Struthio camelus: one gene and its partner. The protein of the gene in region 1 purifies or fractionates together with the protein of each later gene. This does not show direct contact. Links are inferred from orthologs where the notes say so. Each region holds a gene or a part of one and is shown in the gene's direction. Other genes may lie near its edges.

The links. The genes of interacting proteins can lie anywhere in the genome.
Region 2: the proteins of PPP1CC (region 1) and PPP1R9A purify together in Homo sapiens (affinity purification with mass spectrometry; 6 studies listed by BioGRID and IntAct, counting the BioPlex papers as one, with this or other methods). This does not show direct contact. The link is inferred for Struthio camelus from reciprocal best matches to the Homo sapiens genes PPP1CC and PPP1R9A.

The regions. Positions count from the first base shown.
Region 1 is NC_090958.1:18,080,009-18,089,861, reverse strand, and holds the start of PPP1CC (serine/threonine-protein phosphatase PP1-gamma catalytic subunit), read left to right. Parts: upstream 1-6,104; 5' UTR 6,105-6,391; coding exon 6,392-6,446; intron 6,447-9,853. UniProt on the Homo sapiens protein: Protein phosphatase that associates with over 200 regulatory proteins to form highly specific holoenzymes which dephosphorylate hundreds of biological targets.
Region 2 is NC_090943.1:28,571,195-28,581,503, forward strand, and holds the start of PPP1R9A (neurabin-1), read left to right. Parts: upstream 1-6,053; 5' UTR 6,054-6,149; intron 6,150-6,232; exon of another isoform or gene 6,233-6,488; intron 6,489-6,686; exon of another isoform or gene 6,687-6,778; intron 6,779-7,843; 5' UTR 7,844-8,068; coding exon 8,069-9,535; intron 9,536-10,309. UniProt on the Homo sapiens protein: Binds to actin filaments (F-actin) and shows cross-linking activity. Binds along the sides of the F-actin. May be involved in neurite formation. Inhibits protein phosphatase 1-alpha activity.

The DNA.
Region 1 (9,853 bases):
CCGCCCGGGGCCGCCGCGTTAGGGCAGGGCAGCGCGGCGCGTTCGGTGAGATGGAGGACAGCTTGGCCCCTGCCCTGCCTGCCTTTCCGTGGGCGCCTCGCCGGCGCGTTCGGGGGGCTCTGCTCCGCGGCGGTGCAGCACATCCCGGGCCTCCACCTCCACCGCTGGGCTGAGCCCCCACGTCCTCTCCGGAGGGTCCCACGGGCTCTGCCCAGCTGCGGCTGCCCGGGACGTGGAGCAGAGGCTGTCCCAGGAGGAAGAAGGTTTCCTCTTGAGTCACTTCAGGCATCCCTGGAAACCGCTCTCCGGAGCCGGGTGCGAGTCGGCTGAGCCCACAAGAGCGCAGCTCAGCGCAGCTCCGGCTGCGGATTTCAGATGGGTGAAACCAGCCCGGTACCCGCTCCCGCAGCCGGGAAACTGCTACTGCTTATCCAGTCCTGAGCGCCGGCCACGCTCCCTCGGGGGCCTGCGAGACGCTGCGGTTTCGCACACAGCACATCCAGCCCCGACTCCACCTGCAGTCACGCGGACGCTGAACGCGGCTGCGGCAAAGGCAGCACGCGCTGAGCGGACCCGCTAAGGACGTCCTCCTCCACGTTTCGTCCCGGCTCCGAGGGATGCTGAGAGCAGAGGAAGCTCCAGGGCAAAGCAGCAGTTTGCAGTGATGTGTCCGAGCTACACGGACGAACCAGGCGGGAATGCAGGGTTCAAAGCCTCCGAATCCTTGCGCGTACCTTTTGGCTCAACAATATGTAACAGCAGCCTGGCTCCCGAAAATCTGCCTGCCTCACTAAGGGACAGCTGAGAGGAGGAGGTGAGAACAGAAACAAATAAACAAACACACGTGGCAGCTACCTCCACAATGGACCACGTTTTCAGACACTGCAAAGAAGCAGAAACTCCAGGCGTCCGACTGGAGTCAGTGGGACTGTTCTGGATTTGCAGGAGCGTAAGGGAAACCCAAACCTGGACCAGCAAAGCCACCATGCTCTGAGCACTTCTGACCTTTGGTGCTCCTGGGACACCGGCCTCCTGTAAGCCGGCAGGTATCTGCAGGCCAGATGCCCTCTTCCCACGTATTTCATCTGCGTTTCAAATTTCCTGGTGGAGCCAGTGATGCCCAGGGTGTGCTGAAGATCTCCAGCTCGTTCCCACTTCTCTTGTGCCATGATTGCTCTCCCCCCGCGGCACTCAGAAGCGCAACCACCGTTTCACAAAGGAAAAATCAAGCTAGAACTGATCTTCATCTTATTTCTGCTTCCATGCTCACCTGACAGCCCTCCTGGTCCTCCACTCTCATTGGTTTTAATTAGAGAAAGAGTTCATCCATGTCATGAGCATGTTATGTCGGGGTAAAATCAGTGTAAGCGAAGAAGCCAGCTGTGTCCCAGCCCAGCCACTTGCCAGTCCCGGGCTGCTAACACGCTTTTCTGGCCAATGCAATGAAGAACATCCCTGAAGTGCTTTCTTCAAGCCACGTGAAGTCAAAGCTGCCCAGAATGTCCCCTTAACCTTTCCAAGGTGCGGTGGCCTCTCCCCCTCTTGCAGTGTCCACTCCACATGGTGGGAAAATTGAAACCCTCTGTAACGATGTCTGAGCAAGCAGACCGAGAGGAGAGACGCTCAGCGAACCCCTTCGCTCCCGGCTGCCTCTCTCCTCCGCAGCAAAGACAAAAAGGAGATTATGTTCGCCCTGCCATGGACCAGCTAAAGGAGGACTGAAAAGCCCTTCGCTGGACGCGTAGCGCTGGCTGCTGCGCACGTTGTTTTCGTTCCCCGTCCTTGAATGGCTCCGTGGCAATCAGCTGAGCCCCACGGAAACCCGCAAAAGCTTTCTAGCTAGTTATGAAACTCGGCCTTTGGCAGAGCACAGAGATTCCCGGCCCAAGAGGGGAAGACAGGGGCTCCGGTCCTTGCCAAAATAGCGTCAACTGATCCATTACGGCTGTTCACCGCTTAAAGCAGGACAAAGTCTTCTTTAGCCCCGTTTCCCCTCTCAGTCTTAGCGATGGACCGGCCCTCCGCCACGCTCGAGCAGGGATGCGCAGCTGCGGCATGACGCGCCAATCTGCTCTTCTCCAAACAGGTCTTGTGCCTGGTCTAGCCTCAAAAGCCAGATCCCTAGAACACACTCCTTGAGAGGCTGGAACGTGCTGGGTTTTTAATCCAAATAGCTATAGCAGGAAAATCCTACTGTGGTCACAGCTGTATCAGAAAAAAAGTGACTTAGGACATTTTTATATGAGAAGGGTTTTACTGGTAGTATTTTTGCCAGTGTGAACTTTCCAAGACTTACCAGCAGAACATTTTCCCATCCAAAAATACCTTTCATGAGAAAGCCTTGAAGTACATCAACTTTGACAAAAAAAAGGTAGGAGGGGAGGAACTGCAAATAACATTTCTACCATGTCTCAAGATTTTTCGAACAGAATCTTTTAACATGTTTTATCGAAAATGTGATTCTAACAAACTTGAGATAGGCTTGTCATTGTTGTTGGCAGTTTCCTTTGCTGGGAGATTTCAGAGGGAAACCAACTGCTGAGACTGTGAAATTTTCGGCTCCGTGGAAAATTCAAGGCCTGGCTTTTGGGGGAGGAGGGGTGGAGGGGAATACGGGCGCTATGCGATGGCAAACGGCTGCGCAGGCAAAGGCTGGGCGCTTTCCCCCAGAGCAGAGAGCGGACTTCTCCCACAGCCTCAGGGTCAAGGTGTTGCACAGGGAAAACAAGGCTTCCTAATTTTCTCATGCGTGGGCTGACGACTTCAGAAAAGCAAAAGTTTGGTAAGCAGGGAGAAGGGAGCGCGGGAGGCGCTCTGCCGTTGGCGTCCGGCCTCTGCACTGGGTACAAATCCCCCGTGAGCCCCAGGGCGAAGGCAGCGGCTCCGGAGCAGCGGAAAGCCTTGCTCTCTCGTTCGGGTCCCTCGCAAAGGACCTGCGCGCCCGCCTGCAGCTCGCACGTCTTGTTGCTCAAGGCAGATCAATGCACTGTATGTTTTGTAAATAAAACAGGACACTAAGAAAATACCTGATTCTGCGTCACCGACTCCTTTCCAAGCAGAACACAGACCCCTACATCTCCAAAGCAGCCTCATGGCACTGCCCAGCTGCTCTTCGTTTGCCTGAAAAATTGCCACCGTCTGCCCCCAGACTCTGGCAACATCCAAAATTTTGGGGTCAGTGAAATACTTTAGGCATCAGGAATAAGAGGCATCCATAAAAAGTTTATCTTGATCATAACAGCAGGCTATCTGGATGCAAACAGTACGAGCTATGAAAACATTTAAATCATATCTGAATATCTAGTCAGGAGAAACAACATTTGCCCCACATTTTTTATTCTTCCAGTGTTTGAACAGCCCTTGTAGATCTTTGTTTAAAATGTACACAAACACATTGAATTTCACGGACTTAGCAAATATGTAATCTAAAGCAAGGGGAAGCGTGGGTGACTCGCATTTCTTAGGATCCACCTACATACTGGAACAAAAAAAAAGGAGCGTTTCATGATTATCTATACATGTGTATATATATATATATATATATATAAGTATATAAAGATATTTATACATCCTATCCCCCAACAGCCCAGAATACGAGCAACCCTACAATAAGCAAAGTAGTATATGCATGACATGAGGAGGACAAATCAGGAGGGAAAGATATTTTATCCTGAGGCTTCCAAGGAATGTTACTCAAGCAGTGATTTATTTGTGGAATTTCAGGAGGGGAGGGAGGACGAGACACAAAGGTCTCACAGCTGCAAGCAAGATAAATCGTACATCATCGTGTATTTAGCAAACTATAATGCAAACTGTAGACAAATACAAGGAAGGGGGAAATATATGAACTCTAAGTTGAGAATTATCAAACGCTTCAAGTCTGCATGCAGCGTTTAAGGGCAAAGGGATATCCCTCATTGTTCCCCCTCTAGAAATAAATCATTGTTCTGAGCAACACTGGAGGAAAAAAATAGTTTCAGGATATTTAACACCTTGGCTGTGTCCCTTTTTTAATCAAGAGAAGCTGTTGTGGGGTGAGGCTTGTTATTTTCAGCAGAGAAAAATTAGCTTATTAAAAAATAACATTGTGGTGGCTTTTTAATAACTGTGGCTCGCATGGAGTTTACTGCTGTTAAGTAAGCGTTCTCATTTTTTGTGTTGATATAGCAAAAATGTAAATGCAAAAGACCTTGTGCAAAAATACAGTTTCCCCTCCGAACAGGAGACCAAGCGTTCCCAGCTGCTGCCGAGACCCAGGAGCAGAGCTGCAGCAAAGCAGGCCGGTTATCAAGGTGATATTGGGGTCTGAATATATTTCCCTCGCTCTGTCACTTCTCTCACTTCCCCTTTGCTATGCCTCTTCTAACGCAAATTGATGGTGCTCTGAACCTTGCCTGATTTGGTTCATCAAGTGAGATATAGTCTCCTCTGAAGGGCCTGATCCTTCCTTCCAGGAGTGTGATGTTCCCGATAAATTTCCATGCGCAGAGGATTAAATCTCCTGGGTCACATGCTGGAAGGTGCTGAGCTCCCCCCCCCAATTTCCCCGAGCATTAACAGGAGTGAAAGGGACTCAGCGTGCCGCAGAAGGTGCTCAGATCCGTGCAGGACTGGTCCTAGGGGAGGGCGTCAGGGGAGAGGGAGTAACAGCTGAAGGATGAGATAAGATGAAGACATTTCCAGCAAAGAAAACAAGGACAGGAAGGTTTCTCTGGAAACGCAGCACCAATTTCCCTCTTTGAACAATTCAGTTAAGTCCAAAGGAGTTTGCTAGAGAAAAACCTGCCCCACAGAATTAGCCGGGATTTGAAAGGAAAGCCTTTGGTGCGAAAGAGCCAGGGAGGGGAGGCTGCCCCTGGGAAGGCGCAGCCCAGGAATAGATGTAAATCTGCAAATGCTGTCACGTTGAAGTAAACCTGGAGTAACGCTATTGTCTGCAGCGGGGTTGCTTTGGGCTTACACCAGTGTGACCGAGATTAGCGTACGGGCTCGGGCGCGCTCATTACGATAAAGCGCTCGCTCGGGGAACTCGAATGTCGAAGCCGCGTTTGGCAACGGCCAGGCGCCCGCGTCGCAGACCGCCTGGCTCTGCGCCCTCTCCTTTCCTCCCTCACGCTGCCTCCAAGGTGTGCTGAGGCTGCAAGTCCTTTGCTTTATCACCCTCCCGAACCTGAACTCTGCTCTGGCCCCACCACGGTAATAAACTGTTATATGAGTATTATGTAACTGTCAGCATGAGGAATCTGGCATGCATAGCATGAGCAACGCACACGGGGAGGAGGAAAGTGGTTGACACAGCCATCCCTGCAAATTAAAGTAGGAGTAAATAAAGCAATTAAACAATATTCAATCAGAGATGCAGACTGAACGCTAGCAAAGGCCTGCACAGCCCCATCTCCCTTGCAAACGCGATCCAATTTACGAGCAGAACCTCGCTTAATTGCTCGCGGCCAAGCCTTTGCCATGCACGAATAAAATAATAATGGAAATGTGAAATAAAACAGCAAGGCGCTCTGGAAAAAAAAAAAAAACGCTCATTTCCCCGGCCGGCCCCCTAAGGATTTCAAAGCGCTGCACAGCGGTACTTAAAAGCAGTCGCCCGGGGAGAGCCGCACGCACCACGTTACTCGGAGGCCTAAGGGCGCGCGCCCGCCGCAGAGCCCCTCGCACGAGCGCCCAGAGCCGCTGCGGCGAGGCAGCTTGGCGTGACCGCGCGCCGGCCGGGCCTCGGCGCCCCGCTGCCGCGTTTCGGCGAGGGAAAACACCCGCGCTCGGTGTTATTTCGCCCCGTTTTGCGGGCCGGGCAGGTGAGGCCGAGGGGCCCGGCCTGCGCCTCGCCTCACGGGGGGCAGCTGGCCGCGGCGGGCCTCGGCCGTGGGGCAGGGCCGAAGGGAAAAACCCCTCGTGGGAGCCGCATCAACGGCTCCCTGCCAAGGGCCTAGCGCCCGCCAGGCGCAGCCCGGCCGCGGCGCCGCACACGCGAGGCCGCACACGCGCGGCGCCCGCTCGCGCCGGACTATTTCGCCTCTTCGCGGCGGCGGAAGGATCCCGCGCGTGCAGCACGCCGTGACGCGCCGCCCCGCCCTCCTCCGCGTGCTTCCCGCGCTGCCTATAAAGGGTTTCCGGTGAGCCGCGTCGCGCCTGTAGTATCCGTGCGCCGGCCGCGCTCGCTGAGGGGAAGGCGGCCATTTTGTTCAGTGCTGGGTCTCTGCTGAGAGCGGCGGCCGAGGGGGGGCGGGGGGGGGACGGAGCGAGAGAGGGAAGAAGGAGCGCGGGGAGGAGAAAAGGAAGGGAAAAGACGAGAGAGACCGAGGAGAGAAGTCAGGCCGGCCAAGCAGCGAGCGGAGGGAGGGGAGCCGCGGGGAGGGGTCCGCCCGGCCGCTGAGAGGCGATGGCGGATATAGACAAGCTGAACATCGACAGCATCATCCAACGGCTGCTGGAGGGTGAGGGTCCGGGCGCGGGGGGAGCCCGGGGAGGGGGCGGAGGCCGAGCCGGTGCCCCCGAGCCCACCGCCGGCTCCGCCGCGGGGCTGCCCCGGCCCCTGAGCGCCCGCTGGGGCCGGGGCACCAAAATGGAGGGGCGCCGAGGCGCTTTGTCTTGCCGGGGCTCGGCGCCGCCGCCGGCCCGGGCGCCCCTGCCCTCCGGCCCCAACTTCTCCCCTAGCCCTCATGTTTCCCGAGCCGTCCCTGCCCTCCCATCCCCTGGGTCCTCCCGGTGCAGGGCTGAGACCCGCCGGCTGGCCCCCTCCTCCAGCCCTGCAGCTCTACGGAGATGCTTAGCTGAGTAAGGTTTTCGTAGGGGAGTGTTTAAAAACCTGAATGCTTAAGCTTGCCTTCGCTACACGCGCACGGGGTCTGGGCTTCGCTAGGTAGTCGTGGGGCTCTGGAAATTAAGCCTTCCCATGTTTAAAGAGTCTGTCGAGGCAGCTTTTCAGAAAGTCGACAGGGGACTTACCTGGGTTCAGGGTATCATATTTTTAGCGCTGATTAACTGCTTGCATTAGTACTACCATTAGACTTTAGGTCTTAACGCGTAACATATGGTGGCTTTTAAAACGCGAATTACAGGTTGGCCTTTGCTCTGTTTTAGACGATATTTGGAAGGGCTTATTGTCCTGTATCGCTAGTGCTTTGGGTTGAAAAGAGTTGAATGGAGTTCAACATCTAAGGAAAATCTAGATGTTGCAGGAGGTGTCAGCAGCGTCTTCCCTTTGGTTGTAAGGGTCAGGATCAGGTTAGAATTGTCAGCTAATCTTTCCTAGGGCAAAAGGTTGAGAAGCAGCCGATGACAAATTTTCTTCCTAGCACCAAGAAAGATTATAATTATTTAGAGAAGGAAGCTAGACTGATCCAGCCTCATTTTAAGTGTGTCAGAGCAGGCATCTCATCTGGATTTTTGCTTGAAGAGCTTGGTCAGGCATTTAACTTTTTTGTTTGGCACAAAGTCATCCAAGATTTTGCTGAGACAAATAGTGAAGAAATGCCTTTGAGCGCTCTCCCAATTTTTTTCTTGTAAAATTTCACTAAATGTCATGACCCGAATAATAATAGGCAAGGCAAAGGGGCAATAGTGCTTCTATAAAATTGGTTGGGATTACAAATCCAGCGGGTGTATTTTGGGATTGTTCAGCTAGAATGAAGAAAAGTAAATAGTGTTTTTTCTCTGATCTGTTTTAGGTTTTGCTTGTTGCCAGTTTAAACTCTCCTGATTTAAGTTGTTTGGAGGCTTCTGTCTGTAATTTAAACCAGTGTTTTCCTGATGCTCTAATACACTTTGTAGGTATCAGGTCCTGTGTGTTACATGCTTGGTGACATATTAATAGATGCTTAATTTTATTGCAGATAGTATAATTTTTATTTGATTTGCTGTAATGCAACTCATGCAGTTTTCTCAAAGTGCAAGTTACTAATATCAAAGACTTGAAATAAGCCTAAAAAAGGTCTGAATAATTTGAATTATTTCCCTTGTTCTGGATTTCAACAAGTAATAAGATGTATTATATCAATATGTTAAATTCTTACCTGGCTTGTATAAGTATTGTACATTGAGAGATGAGAGCTTATAAATGAGGTTTCAGAAGCTTCACTGACAAGATCTTTGAGATGACTGTGTAACAAAAGATATTATTACCTAGGGTTGCGTCAGCTGTCAGAACTGAAATAATTTTTTTACTTTGACATTTTAGTTAGAATTTCTGATTTCTTGGGGCAACAAATGTCTTTTGGTATTTAAAACAATTATGAATGTTAATAACCCATGGCATATTTACACCTATATATTTGTCTTGTTTATTGCTTATTGAAAATATATTATATAAGGTATAATACAGCTTTCTTAGAGCAATGGTTGACCTTTGTGACAATTTCTTTTTTTTCCAGAGAGGGCAAAATGATAATGCGTTTGGGCTAGTGCTGCATTCTTGATAGACTGCTAAATTGTGTGAATTACTGTGCAAACGCCATTCTCTCTGTAGTTGTTTGAAATTTTCTTGACTCATCTGTTTCCTGAGGTTATTAAGATACAGCTAGGTAGATGACAAGATTGATCTAAAGGGCAGCTCTGCGTGGTATCAAAAAAACCAAAAATCTAAAGGGTGTGTGTAAGAGAATTTTTAATCCTTTTTAGATTTGGACTGAGCATGAGAAATTTAAGACATTTGTATGTAGTGTAGTGTTCTTTTTCAATATAGTTCTTTTTCAGTGCAGTTTTAGTAGAATTGCATCATGTTCAGTTATATAAAGTTTGGTATGTCTGTACCCAGGATTCTGCTCCCTTTTCGGGCTGGATTCTGCACTGATTAAAATGATAGCCAACCACATACTCACTACAAAAACTCTTTTAATAACTAGCTGACTCGCAAATTGAATTGCCCAAATCCTTGTTCAAGGTTTAATTTTTAAATCAATTTGATATTTTACCAGTTATACCTATCTTTAAACTGTATGCTTATGTATTTTTATAACAGTTATTTCAGGTGATTTTGCTTAAAAAAAAGTAAAGATATGAATATGTAATGTGGCAGTAATCCCTTCTTCCTTTTTAAAGGTAATAAAATCAATGTTATGGAGATACTTTATGAAATATTTCAAATCGGTAAGAAAATAGTGGATATTTGTATTTTATAATATGTCTTGGTGTATTGCACTGTTGGATGAGACCCAAAGAGTTAAGCAGGTAGTGAATCTAGTCTAATTGTCCAGGTGGAGTGAAGTGGTTAAATGGTGAATAATAAATTACTCTAGCTTTTGTTCTTAATATAGGGTATTAATAATGTATTTGTGAGGGGGTTTTACTTGCTTTCTATTCTGCCATCTCCTCTTATAAAAATTGAGACAATTGTTCTTATCAAATGACATTATTCTTACTTTTTCCCCAAATAGTTGATATATCCCACCCACATTAGGCTATTTAGCTGAAATTACTAGATTATCCTTTAAAAGGCTTGGAAGCATCTATTTGGCTTCTCATTCTAAGGTAAATATTTGGAGAGTCTTTTTTTCTCCAAATGTTTATAGTACAGAGCCATTTGGCATTGAAATGTCACCAAAAACATTTTTTCAGTGACATTGTTCTCAACCTTGGAGAGCGGCTTGATGAAAACATTGAACATAGTGATCTTTTTTTTGTTGTAATTGAATTTATATTTTATTTGCCTTACTCCTTTGCTAATGAGGGTTATATTCTACTAGGAACAGTTTGTCTAATTTTGTCACTTCTAGTAACTTTCCTAGCAATGATTTTCACAAGAGCAAGGCTTTCCAGAGTATAGTAAATAACAGTATGCTCCATTGAGTATTGAAATGTTTCCTCAATGTCTTTGATAGCGGATATAGGCTCAAATATAATAGAG
Region 2 (10,309 bases), on another chromosome or scaffold:
GTCTTTTACGACTAACACAATTTCTTGTTCTGTTTTATGCAAATGTTGATGTCATCCTATTCTTCTATAATTCTATACTGTTTATGTGACCATTCCTTCGCTTTCTTAAAGATGTCATTGTAAATTTACAGACTTTGCTATGTTAATGCTTATCTTTTCGTTTTTAAACTTGATGCCAGTGTTCTCTTTTTTTAACGGTATGATAAAGTGGTTACCCTTCTTGACTTCTTTTCTGCTTTACACAAATGCTTTTATTATTAGTACAGAACTCTTACTTACAGATGTCTCTAATTGGTAACTTGGATTTCAATACCATTAAATAATGAAAATAGTTTCTGTACACATTGCTGCACAATGATGTGTTTCTCTGTACCGGCAAAGCGTACAGCTCTTCCAAATTAACTGAATGTTTTTAGCTGGCCTAGTAGCTGATGCCATATAGAACACAGTAATTAAATATTTACTTGCTCTTGTGCACTAAATTAAACTGATTAACAAATCTAGCTTTGAGAGCAAATTTTTCCTGTGGGTATTTTACCAAGGTAGTACTTTTCACCTATCAGTGGAGAGAAAAGCAATCAAAGTATGTGGCAAGTAACCAAAACCTAGTTTTGTTGTACGTTCTGTAAATGACAGATTACTATTTTCAGCTAAGCAGCTGTTTTCTCATTTGTATTTATTTTAATTACTTTTTTTTAAGGAAAAGGGAGAAGCAAATTCCACTAACGCAGTCATAACAGGTCTACATCTATGTTACCAGCAGGGTTTGAACCACAGACTATTACGATGTGAGCTCAATGACAGGCATAGTCATCAGCTTCAGGGTGGAGCAACCTAGACAAGTATTTCCCCGACATGCCAATGTATTGCACACTGCAAGACAGCGCTAGTGTGCTGTATTTCATGATTTCTGGCTTCTATATCTTTCACTGAGGAATCATTTGTTTTTGTCTCCAGAGCGGGAGTACAAGCTCCGAAGTGCCACCAAGTACAAATGGTCAGTCATTTGGAAAAGGTGAAGGCAGAACTTGCTGTCTTACATCTTTCTCATGGCACAGAACACTACTTGATTTGGCAAGGTGGTGAACTCGGCAATCACATTTGCTTGTGTGTTATGTACTGACAGTATCAAGTACACTTTTTAGGTCTGAACATCAAATACATTCCTCCCTCTTCTCCTAGTTTTCCCCTGGCTCATTAAATGTGCTTTCCTTAAGAGTAATAGTGGATATTTACTGCACAATAAATACACTGGAGATAATGCTTTTGCACAGACTGGCAGACCCTGTTAATTTCTGTATTCCCGATTCTGGCTATTGAGAGTAATTTTCTTTTCAACAGAAAATGTGTGTTATAGAAAGTTTTGCTATAATAAAGTATTTATTAATGGTTAATACTATTATGAGATTCCCAACTTTCTACTTTAGATCCAACCATGAAAAATACAACTTCCATATTTATACAGTTAACAGGGAATATATCTCATGCAAATTTGAGGTGTTCTGCTTTGGAATAGTTGAAGTACTAACTTTTCTGACTTTAAATCTTTCTTACTGATGTTGGGATGGAGAGAGAGTTCTCTGTACCACGTATCTACATATGATATCATCTGATGAATCAGATGACTGTGATAGGTACCATTCACCTAGGAATATCTTACTTATTCTGTCAACTAATCGAGGTTAAAGAATGTTTCCTAACATTTTCCCCTCCTGAAGAGCTTAACATTAAATATGTGTTTTGCCAGGGTTTGATTCTTACTAAAAATTTGCATTAGAGTGAACATTTAGTCTTTTCATTTCCTATTTTCTGCAACTAGCTGACATCCTTCTAATTAGGCTGGTAGCTGATGATTGTCTATGTTGTGCTAAAAAACAGAGTTCAGTGTTGAGGGCCAGTGACAGAAGGCTAATGAAATACAGCTCTTTCAACCATTTCTAGCTTTCTATTTTAGCAAAGGCAGTAGTTCAATGTAATTAGTTGTATGTAGTGTGCAACGCTTTTCCTTTTTGAAAAATACTTTCCCATTTTCTTTACTAGCCATAACCGTGCGTTATTTGAACACCTTAAAGTAGAATGTTTAAGAATGGATGTGACAGTATTCTTACAGTAACTCAGAAAGGGATATTGCTGTTCTGAGCTTAGGCCCTCATGATGCTAATATTTGCTTTTCTGTTAAATTGTTAAAACATGAAGTCTTGTTATCATTGCCAGAGCTTCTTTCTTCAGATTTTACAGGACAAAGTCCCCTTTTAGACACTGTTCTTGAGCTTTCAAGTAATTTGATGTTCTGTGTGAAAACAGCACAACCTTCTGAAATTGCCAAATGAGTGATACTAATGAGCTCCCATTTTTAACTATTAATGTCTTCCTGTGGAAGAGATTACAGTCAGAAGAATTACACTCACTGCAACAACAGATTTATAATATTTGAAACTAAATGTTATCAACTCATTATTATAGCTGTGATTGTTGTTTATTTTAGTCTCATGCTACTCTGGTACAGATGGATCCCTAAGTCACCTTATCTTCCAAAATGTTTATATCTCTTTGTTCAGACAAGTTATTTTTCTTTAAATTAGATTATGTAAAAAGAATTCATATTCTCTAACTGGCTGAGAGTGAACGATAAAACTCAGTTCTGCTTATGCTGTGATATGTCTAAAGAAAAAAAACCTCCTTCTCCTCTGCAGTGGTTTGATGGGGCAGCAGATAGACACTTTCTTAGCTGACGATCAGAATAGGTAAATAGTTTCCATTTCTACGTGTATGTACAGATACTGTCTTCCAAGGCTTGAAAGAAGTTGACAAGAGAAAGATGACAGGATGACTTTCTTCTTTTTCCCGGGCCGTGCGGAGAAACTTGCATTACCGCTCTGCTGTGTGAATATATTGCTAATCTCAGTAAATGAGTATCTTTGAAGCACAAGTGTCACTCAGAACAACCCATCAATGACATCCAGATAGTTACGTTCATAAGTAAACATAATCCACACATGAAATGAATGGAAAATTGATTATTTTAAGCCTTGGAGTACTGCATCAAAACTGGTTTAAAAAGAGACTGAGTAAAATTTAAAGTGATGCTGTCAGGTTAAACGACTTGGGTCTCTCTTCCTGTCGTATGTGCACATTCAGAATCATGTGAATGGAGCTGTTGCTCTGGTGCCGTAAAATGACAGCCACGCTCTACCCTATGTAACTATTCAACTGAACAGATCTGAAACTTGCGTTGGTTTGGGAGCAGAGTAGTTCCGTAACTTCAGTGAAGTTATTGAGTTTATCCTAATGTAATAAGGAGAAACTTGGTCTCTTATCTTCCCCAGAGTGTGCTGTGCAGTGTTTTAATGTTGCTTAGGAATTAACAGAAATGTCAATCATGCTTTAACAGAGCCTAAAAATACCTTCTAGTCAAATGGATTGACACAGAAATACTAAAAATGTAAAAGGATCCACAATTCTTGTGGATTTTTATAGTTAGTTGCATGGCCATGCTCATGTATGAGGAGTCTCTCCTGGAAGGTGACATACTAATCAAAACAAGATACATTTTATTATTCTAGAGACTGTATAATACTGTTGGTTTAACATAGGCACTGTGTAAATAAGGACGTAGAATGAAGAGTTTTCGTGAGTGACTAATAAGTTTGAATATCTTAGATGTCAGTAGCCAAAATCAGATCCCCTAAATAAGGTCCAAACTATCTCTGAGCAGCTAAAATTACCAGTAGTTGCCACAAATCTTGGCAGTTGTCAGCATGAGGTGGTGTTGAGAGAACATAAAATTATTTAAAATGGCTTTGTGTTAGCTTCTGTGTCAGAGGCAGGCAGAGTCCTCTTTAACTGCTATGCAATCTACTTAAAAGACATTAAAGTAGAACATAAATGTAATTATAACCTTTCTCAGCGTGAAAAGCTTGAGGTTTCTTGTGTGCTTGATCTGTCAGCAAGTTGCTCCATCAGAGTACGTCATCTCATTCCCTTGTTTTCTACTGAAGTATAATATATGGATTGCATTATCCGGCCATAAAATAACACAAATGTTTTCCTGGATAGATTATTTAAAAAATATATTAATGGGGGGGGGCAGGAGTGCCAATTTTGCTTGAAATTTTTCTGTTAGATAAAAGATTTAAGTAATAATTACAGCTTTGAATATGTGCCACGTAGATACAGTACTGGGTAACTTCTTAATTATTTTCACAGGTGCTAATTACTCTCTTTAAAATTGCTTTAGTTGTTTCATCTCATTTAATGTTGTGTCACCTTTTTTCTTGTGGTAAAATGTGAATTATAAAACTCTTCCATATACATCTCTAGTAAGGACATAGTAAGTTCTTTAACGATTCTGCATGCTTAGTCTAAATTCACAAAATAAAACATTTACATTTCTGCTTTATGTCGCTATTCATTGCTGTTCTCTGTGGAGGGAAAATAAAGGAGACTTGAAGTTCTCTTAACGTATTTTTATCTTCAGAAGTCAAGCAGCTCTCTTAAGTATTCTTATGGTTTTATTTCCACAAAATGATACTAATAGAAAGACACTGTCAAATATGTTGGGCCTCAGATCTGGTATGTTATTTGATGTTAACAATTTAATAGTGAATATCCTGGTTAGTTGTAGCCTTTCTAGTCCTCGCGCAGGGAAACAGCTGTAGGAATCCTCAGCAGAAGAAGCTGTGAAGCAGCAGTTGTTCCATCATCCTTCTGCTTTAGGATACTGTCTCAGAAGTGAAGTTTTCTGCAACTGCTTTTGAAGTTCGGGTATCTATATCCTCAGTCATTACTTACCTCCTGTGATCTCCCTTTCTCCCTGCTGTGCTGCAGCGCTTTGGCATGGTAATGCTGAGCAGCCTTTAGGGCATGCAGCATGCCCCCCCCCCCCCCCCCCCCCACACTCCGTGCTGCGAGCCTCACCTGCCAATAGCCTGAGTGGAAGCCACGCAAAGCATCAGGACAGGCTTCTTCCCAGCGGTGGAAAAAACGCTGTTTAAATGTTCTCGCTTCTGATTCTGCCCTTTAGCATACATTCTTACGGAAATATTCTTTTTCAAGGTGTTTTAAAAGACTGGAATTTTTTTCCCAGTGGGTATTAATGTGTTAGATATTTAAACTCTATTGAGGCAAATATTCCGAGTTGTACCCTTGGTGCAAATGAGAAGACCGACATCTGCACATACCTAGAATGGTATATGGTACACGTGGCTTCTGTCTCATTAAAACTAATGAATTACGTTTGTAAAGCTGTCTACCTTACACCTTTATTTTCAGTCACTTGTATCTTGATTCTGTATACATAATAATGATTTTTCAGTATTTGCAATGTACATCCTCGGGCCATTTCTTGGACGTTTATGCAATTAGTTTAATGAACTTTGCTTGGAGGTTGCTGTGGGATTAGGAGTCACTACCGTCTTGGCTTGCCAATTTTACAGATTCCGTAGAGATCGCGCGCTCCGCAGTTAAGTTTTCTTACTCACTGTTTAAAGCCAAAACATGTTTGTGGCAAATTCACCTAGCTAACAAAACAACGGGAGAAAGCTGGTTGCGGTTATACTGTGTAAGTACAGTAATCTCCTGTCATCCTGCCTCCCTTTCGGCAATTGCCAGAACAAGTCACGTTTACGAGAGTTGTTTAGTGGTTTGTCTGGATTTGTTAGCAGTGCATTACTCGTTTAGGTAGGCTGTGTTACATGCCTTATTTTTTAAGAGCTAGGGCGGGAGCCTGCAAGCCCCGCTCCGCGGCGGAGTCGCGGCGCGCTCGGCTCGGCGCCGCGCCGCCCCCGCGCTCCCTGGCCGCCGCCGCCGGCACCGTGCCCCGCTCCGGCCGAGCCGCCCCGCCGCGCACCCCGCTCTCCTCCGCGGGAACGGGCGGGAGGCGGCGATCGCCAGCGCTGCGGACCCGGTTACCGAGCCGCTTCCTCCGGCCGGGGGAAAACCCGCCGTCCCCGGGCTGGAGAAGCCGGGCGAGCGGAGCCGGGCGCTGCGGCCCGCGGGCAGGCGGCGCCCGGGGCGCGGCGGGGCGGGCTGGGCGGGCCGCTGCGGCCGGGGCCCGGCCTCTGCCGCTCCGCGCCGCCCGCCTCGGGCCGGGCTGCGGCGGGAGCGCGGCCCGCCCGCGGCGGAACAGACCATTGCGGCTGGCCGAAGAGGTGAGGCACCTGTCACCCGCCGGCTGCCGGCGGCCCCAGAGCGGCGGCCGCGCCGCGCCGTGCCGTGCCGTGCCGGAGGGGGCGGGAGCGGGGCTGCGGCGGGGCGCGGCGGCTCGCCTCCTCCCCCGCGCCGCGCCGCGCCGCGCCGCGGGTGTGTGCGCGGAGCCGTGTCGGTGCCCCAACCGCCGCCGCCGCCGCCGCCTGCAATGGCGTTGAGGCGCCGCGGCGGTTGGTGCCTCCTGTCAGGCGGGTGGCGGCAGCGGCCGTTCTCCACGGAGGCGCCGAGCAGCCGGCGGCCGCAGGAGGAGCGGGGGCCGCGCTGAGGCGGGAGGCTGGCGGGTAAGGAAGCGTGCGCGCCGCGGGGAAGGCGCGGAGGAGCCGCCGCAAGGGGCTTTTGTTCCCTGGCGCCCGGCAGGCACAGCCGGGCCCGGCCGCGCCGCGCCGGGGCTGCCGCCCGCGCAGCCCTGCCCGCCGCAAGGTGCTGCCGCCCGCGGCCCGCGCCTTCCAGCCTGCGCGTCGCGGCGCTGCCCTCGGCGCTTTTAAGTTTATTTCCTCCCGCGCCCTTTCCCGCGAGCCGCCAGCGCGGCGGATGTCGCCGGGAGGGCGAGGATAGGGGGCGACTGGCGCAGGTACGCGGGACGGCTGGGCTCCGCTCCGGCCGTTGGCGCGTGCCGCTCCCGGCCGTTGGAGGCCGCGCGCCGCCGCCGCCCCTCAGCTCGGAGCCGCCGCGCCCTGCCCGGCCCGGATCCGCGGCGCGGCCGGGTGCGTTTCGCAGCGCGTTGTGCTGCATCGCCCAACGTGATGTGGCTTCGCCTTGCCGGGGTGGGGGGGGGCAGGGGAGGTGTGTGCGCGTGTGTGCGCCCCCCGGCGCGGTCCGGCCGCCCCGCGCAGCGCGCCGAGCGGGCGCCGAGGCGTTTGGCCGGCCGTGTGGCGCTGCGCGGGGCCCGGCGGCCGCGGGGCCCCCGGGGCCGATCCTGCCGGCAGCTGCCCGCGGGCGGCTGGCGGGGCGCTCCCCTGCGCCCTGCGGCGCTGGCGGCACTGCCGGCGGCCAGGGACAACTTTTCCTAACTAGGTTTCACTTTCTTTGCTGTTTGAGCTGAGAGCGTTAGCTGTGGGTGCAATTTTTCTGTTTCGCTCGAGCTCCTGTTTCATTTTGGAGCAGTCTTTCTGAGTGTGTTATTTGAGAGGGTATTTCTACCATTATGTTTCCCTGAGAGAAGAAGGGTTATCTTGCAGTGCCTCGGGGAAGCAGAACCATCGTGTTTGCATCGAGTTATTTTAGGGTCACATATAAGACACTCGGAGGGTTGTGGGGTTTTTTTGATTCTGCTTTTCTCTTGTCGCTGAGGAAGAGTTTGGTACGATAAAAGTAGTGGTATTTCTCTTGTCGCCTTGTTTTTCCTTTGCATGTTTGTGACGTGATACATCTTTGTGAACAGTTAGACATGATAATCCATGCTTTCACTATGGAGTGATGTTAGAGTTATTTTATAAATTTGCCAATTGTTCAGCAATCAGTTTGAAAAAAACTGTAATTACTTACAAGTGTTCATATGTTTGTGTGCTGCTGGGTTGTATTTTTTCCTTGTTTTGTAAATGTAATTTCAAATAACTATATAAAGGGAAAGTGTCATTTAGATTTAAGGAAGTACAAGTGCATGACATGATTCAGAAAGCCTTACTTTCTGTTGCAGGTTACATCTACGTTTGTTCCCAAAAGCCCTCCTCGGTCTTGCTGCTTTGTCACAATTGACTCCATATGTTTAGATATTTGCCTCCAGATCTTCTGTCAGGCACGGCCCTGCCGAAGAGCAGTGCTGCCTAAGAAACGCTTCTCAACCAGAATCTCAGTTGTAACAGGTTGCTGAGAGTGGTACCTCCGTAATTATGTAAGGTGGTTTTGCACTCCTGAAGTAAACATGATAAAAACAGAGTCTTCAGGAGAAAGATCAACCCTCCGAAGTGCCTCTCCTCACAGGAATGCTTACAGAACTGAGTTCCAGGCGCTGAAAAGCACCTTTGACAAACCGAAATCAGATGGAGACCAAAAAACGAAAGAGGAAGGAGAGGCCTCCCAGAGCAGGGGGAGGAAGTATGGCTCAAATGTCAATAGGATTAAGAACTTATTTATGCAGATGGGCATGGAGCCCACTGAAAGTGCTGGAGTTACCCCTAAAACAAGGGGAAAGGGTGGCCCACCATCACCTCAGAGGCGAATTAGGCCCAAAGAATTTGTAGAAAAAACGGATGGTTCCATTGTAAAATTGGAATCTTCTGTTTCAGAAAGGATTAGTAGATTTGATACTATCCATGATGGCCCTTCTTATTCTAAGTTTACTGAAACTCGAAAGATGTTTGAGCGAAATGCTCATGAAATGGGACATTCCAATCGCTATTCCCCAAAGAAAGAGAAAGTGGTTTCCAGCGAGCTTCCGGATGAGTGGTGCAGCTCTAAATCTCACAGAGGCAGCACTGATTCATTGGACAGTCTTAGCCCAAGGACAGAGACTGTCTCTCCAACTGTGAGTCAGCTCAGTGCAGTTTTTGAAAACACTGACTCACACAACGTAATTGTTTTAGAAAAGTCAGAGAACAATGAAGAATACTCTGTAACTGGTCACTATCCACTAAATCTGTCTTCTACCGTTGCAAGTATCTCCTCCCCTGTTGCAAACCTTGAGGGGTTCAGTCCTTTGAAAGATGCCGGCACGTGGTCTCCGCCAGCCAAACAAAGTACAAGCTTGGCATCCGTTGAGAACTCTCAGCAAAATAGCACACCTTCCCCATCAAGGCAGAAAACGTCTATAGGCACTTCATCGGGTTCAAAACCAACTGAAGAAATAAAAAAGAAAACGGAGGCAAGTGCTGATTCTGTTGATAGCTGTGTGGTGAGTCCACAGGATTTGGTCAATGCACCTGACAGTGAAAGGTCTGTGGACAGTTGTGCTAGGCATAAGTCAAAAACAGACACGGAAGTTTTGTTGCGACAAAAGGAACGATCAGAAAATGCAGAGGGTATCTTTGATAGGCCTGAAGCTTCAGAAATACCAAGAAATTTGGTGTCAGGTGGTGATTTTGCAGCAGATGCCGTTTCAGATGCTGCAGAGTCCCATTTTGATGAGACAGGTGAAAAGGAGGTAAATGAAGATGTGAGCAATTTCCAGAGTTCCCATGTGTACATGCACTCTGACTACAACGTATATAGGGTACGATCGAGGTATAATTCTGACTGGGGAGAGACTGGTACAGAACAGGATGATCAGGATGACAGTGATGAGGATAACTGTTATGAACCTGATATGGAATACTCCGAAATTAATGGATTGCCAGATGAAGATGAAATCCCAGCCAACAGAAAAATACAGTTTAGCCGTGCTCCAATTAAGGTAAAGTTTCCTGCATTTATTTTTTGCGATTTGGTTCATTTTTAAATGCAGCTTTGTTTGAAGCAGATTTTGACGGTTGTCTCTGAAAAGATTGCAGAGCATCTTCAGATGCTCATTTCTGTTACAGTCAGCCAGTGAGCATAACCCCAAGTGATGCAAGGGAGATGAGCTCTGAAGAACTTTGATTATTTCCTAGCATACCTTATGGCTGATGAAGCTAGCAGAAATGAGAATGACAGCTAGGTTTGCAAAGTTTTGAAATTGTGACATGCATGTTTTGATTTATATGGCTATGAATTATAATCCCATGTGAAATGTAGAAGTGGGTATTTGGTGGCCTTAACGCTTGTTGTGTTTTCATTTGAAATTGTAACTTCTTTAGTTTGGTTGGCCTCTCTTACTTTAACTTGCCTCAGATGTTCTTTAAAGTTACTATATTGAAGCACCGTGTCACGAATTACAATGTGCTACTGAAGAGTGTTTTTGTCTCACTAATAGAAGACCGTTAATATTCTATATCTGAATCAATATAATCTTTTCTAATACTATCTTCACTATTCAAACTTGTTCATACCTTTATGTATGTTTAGTATATGTCAGTTTAAGAGGCTACTGAAAGGTAAAAGATGTCATACTGAACAAACGGTGGGTTTCTTGCAGAGTTTTTTGGGTTTGCTTTTAAGTACCTTGAAATTGTAGCTAAGAATGTGGACTGCTCCAGGTATTTCAGCATGGGACGGAATAACTAGTGTAGTGTTTTGCTATACCAGCATT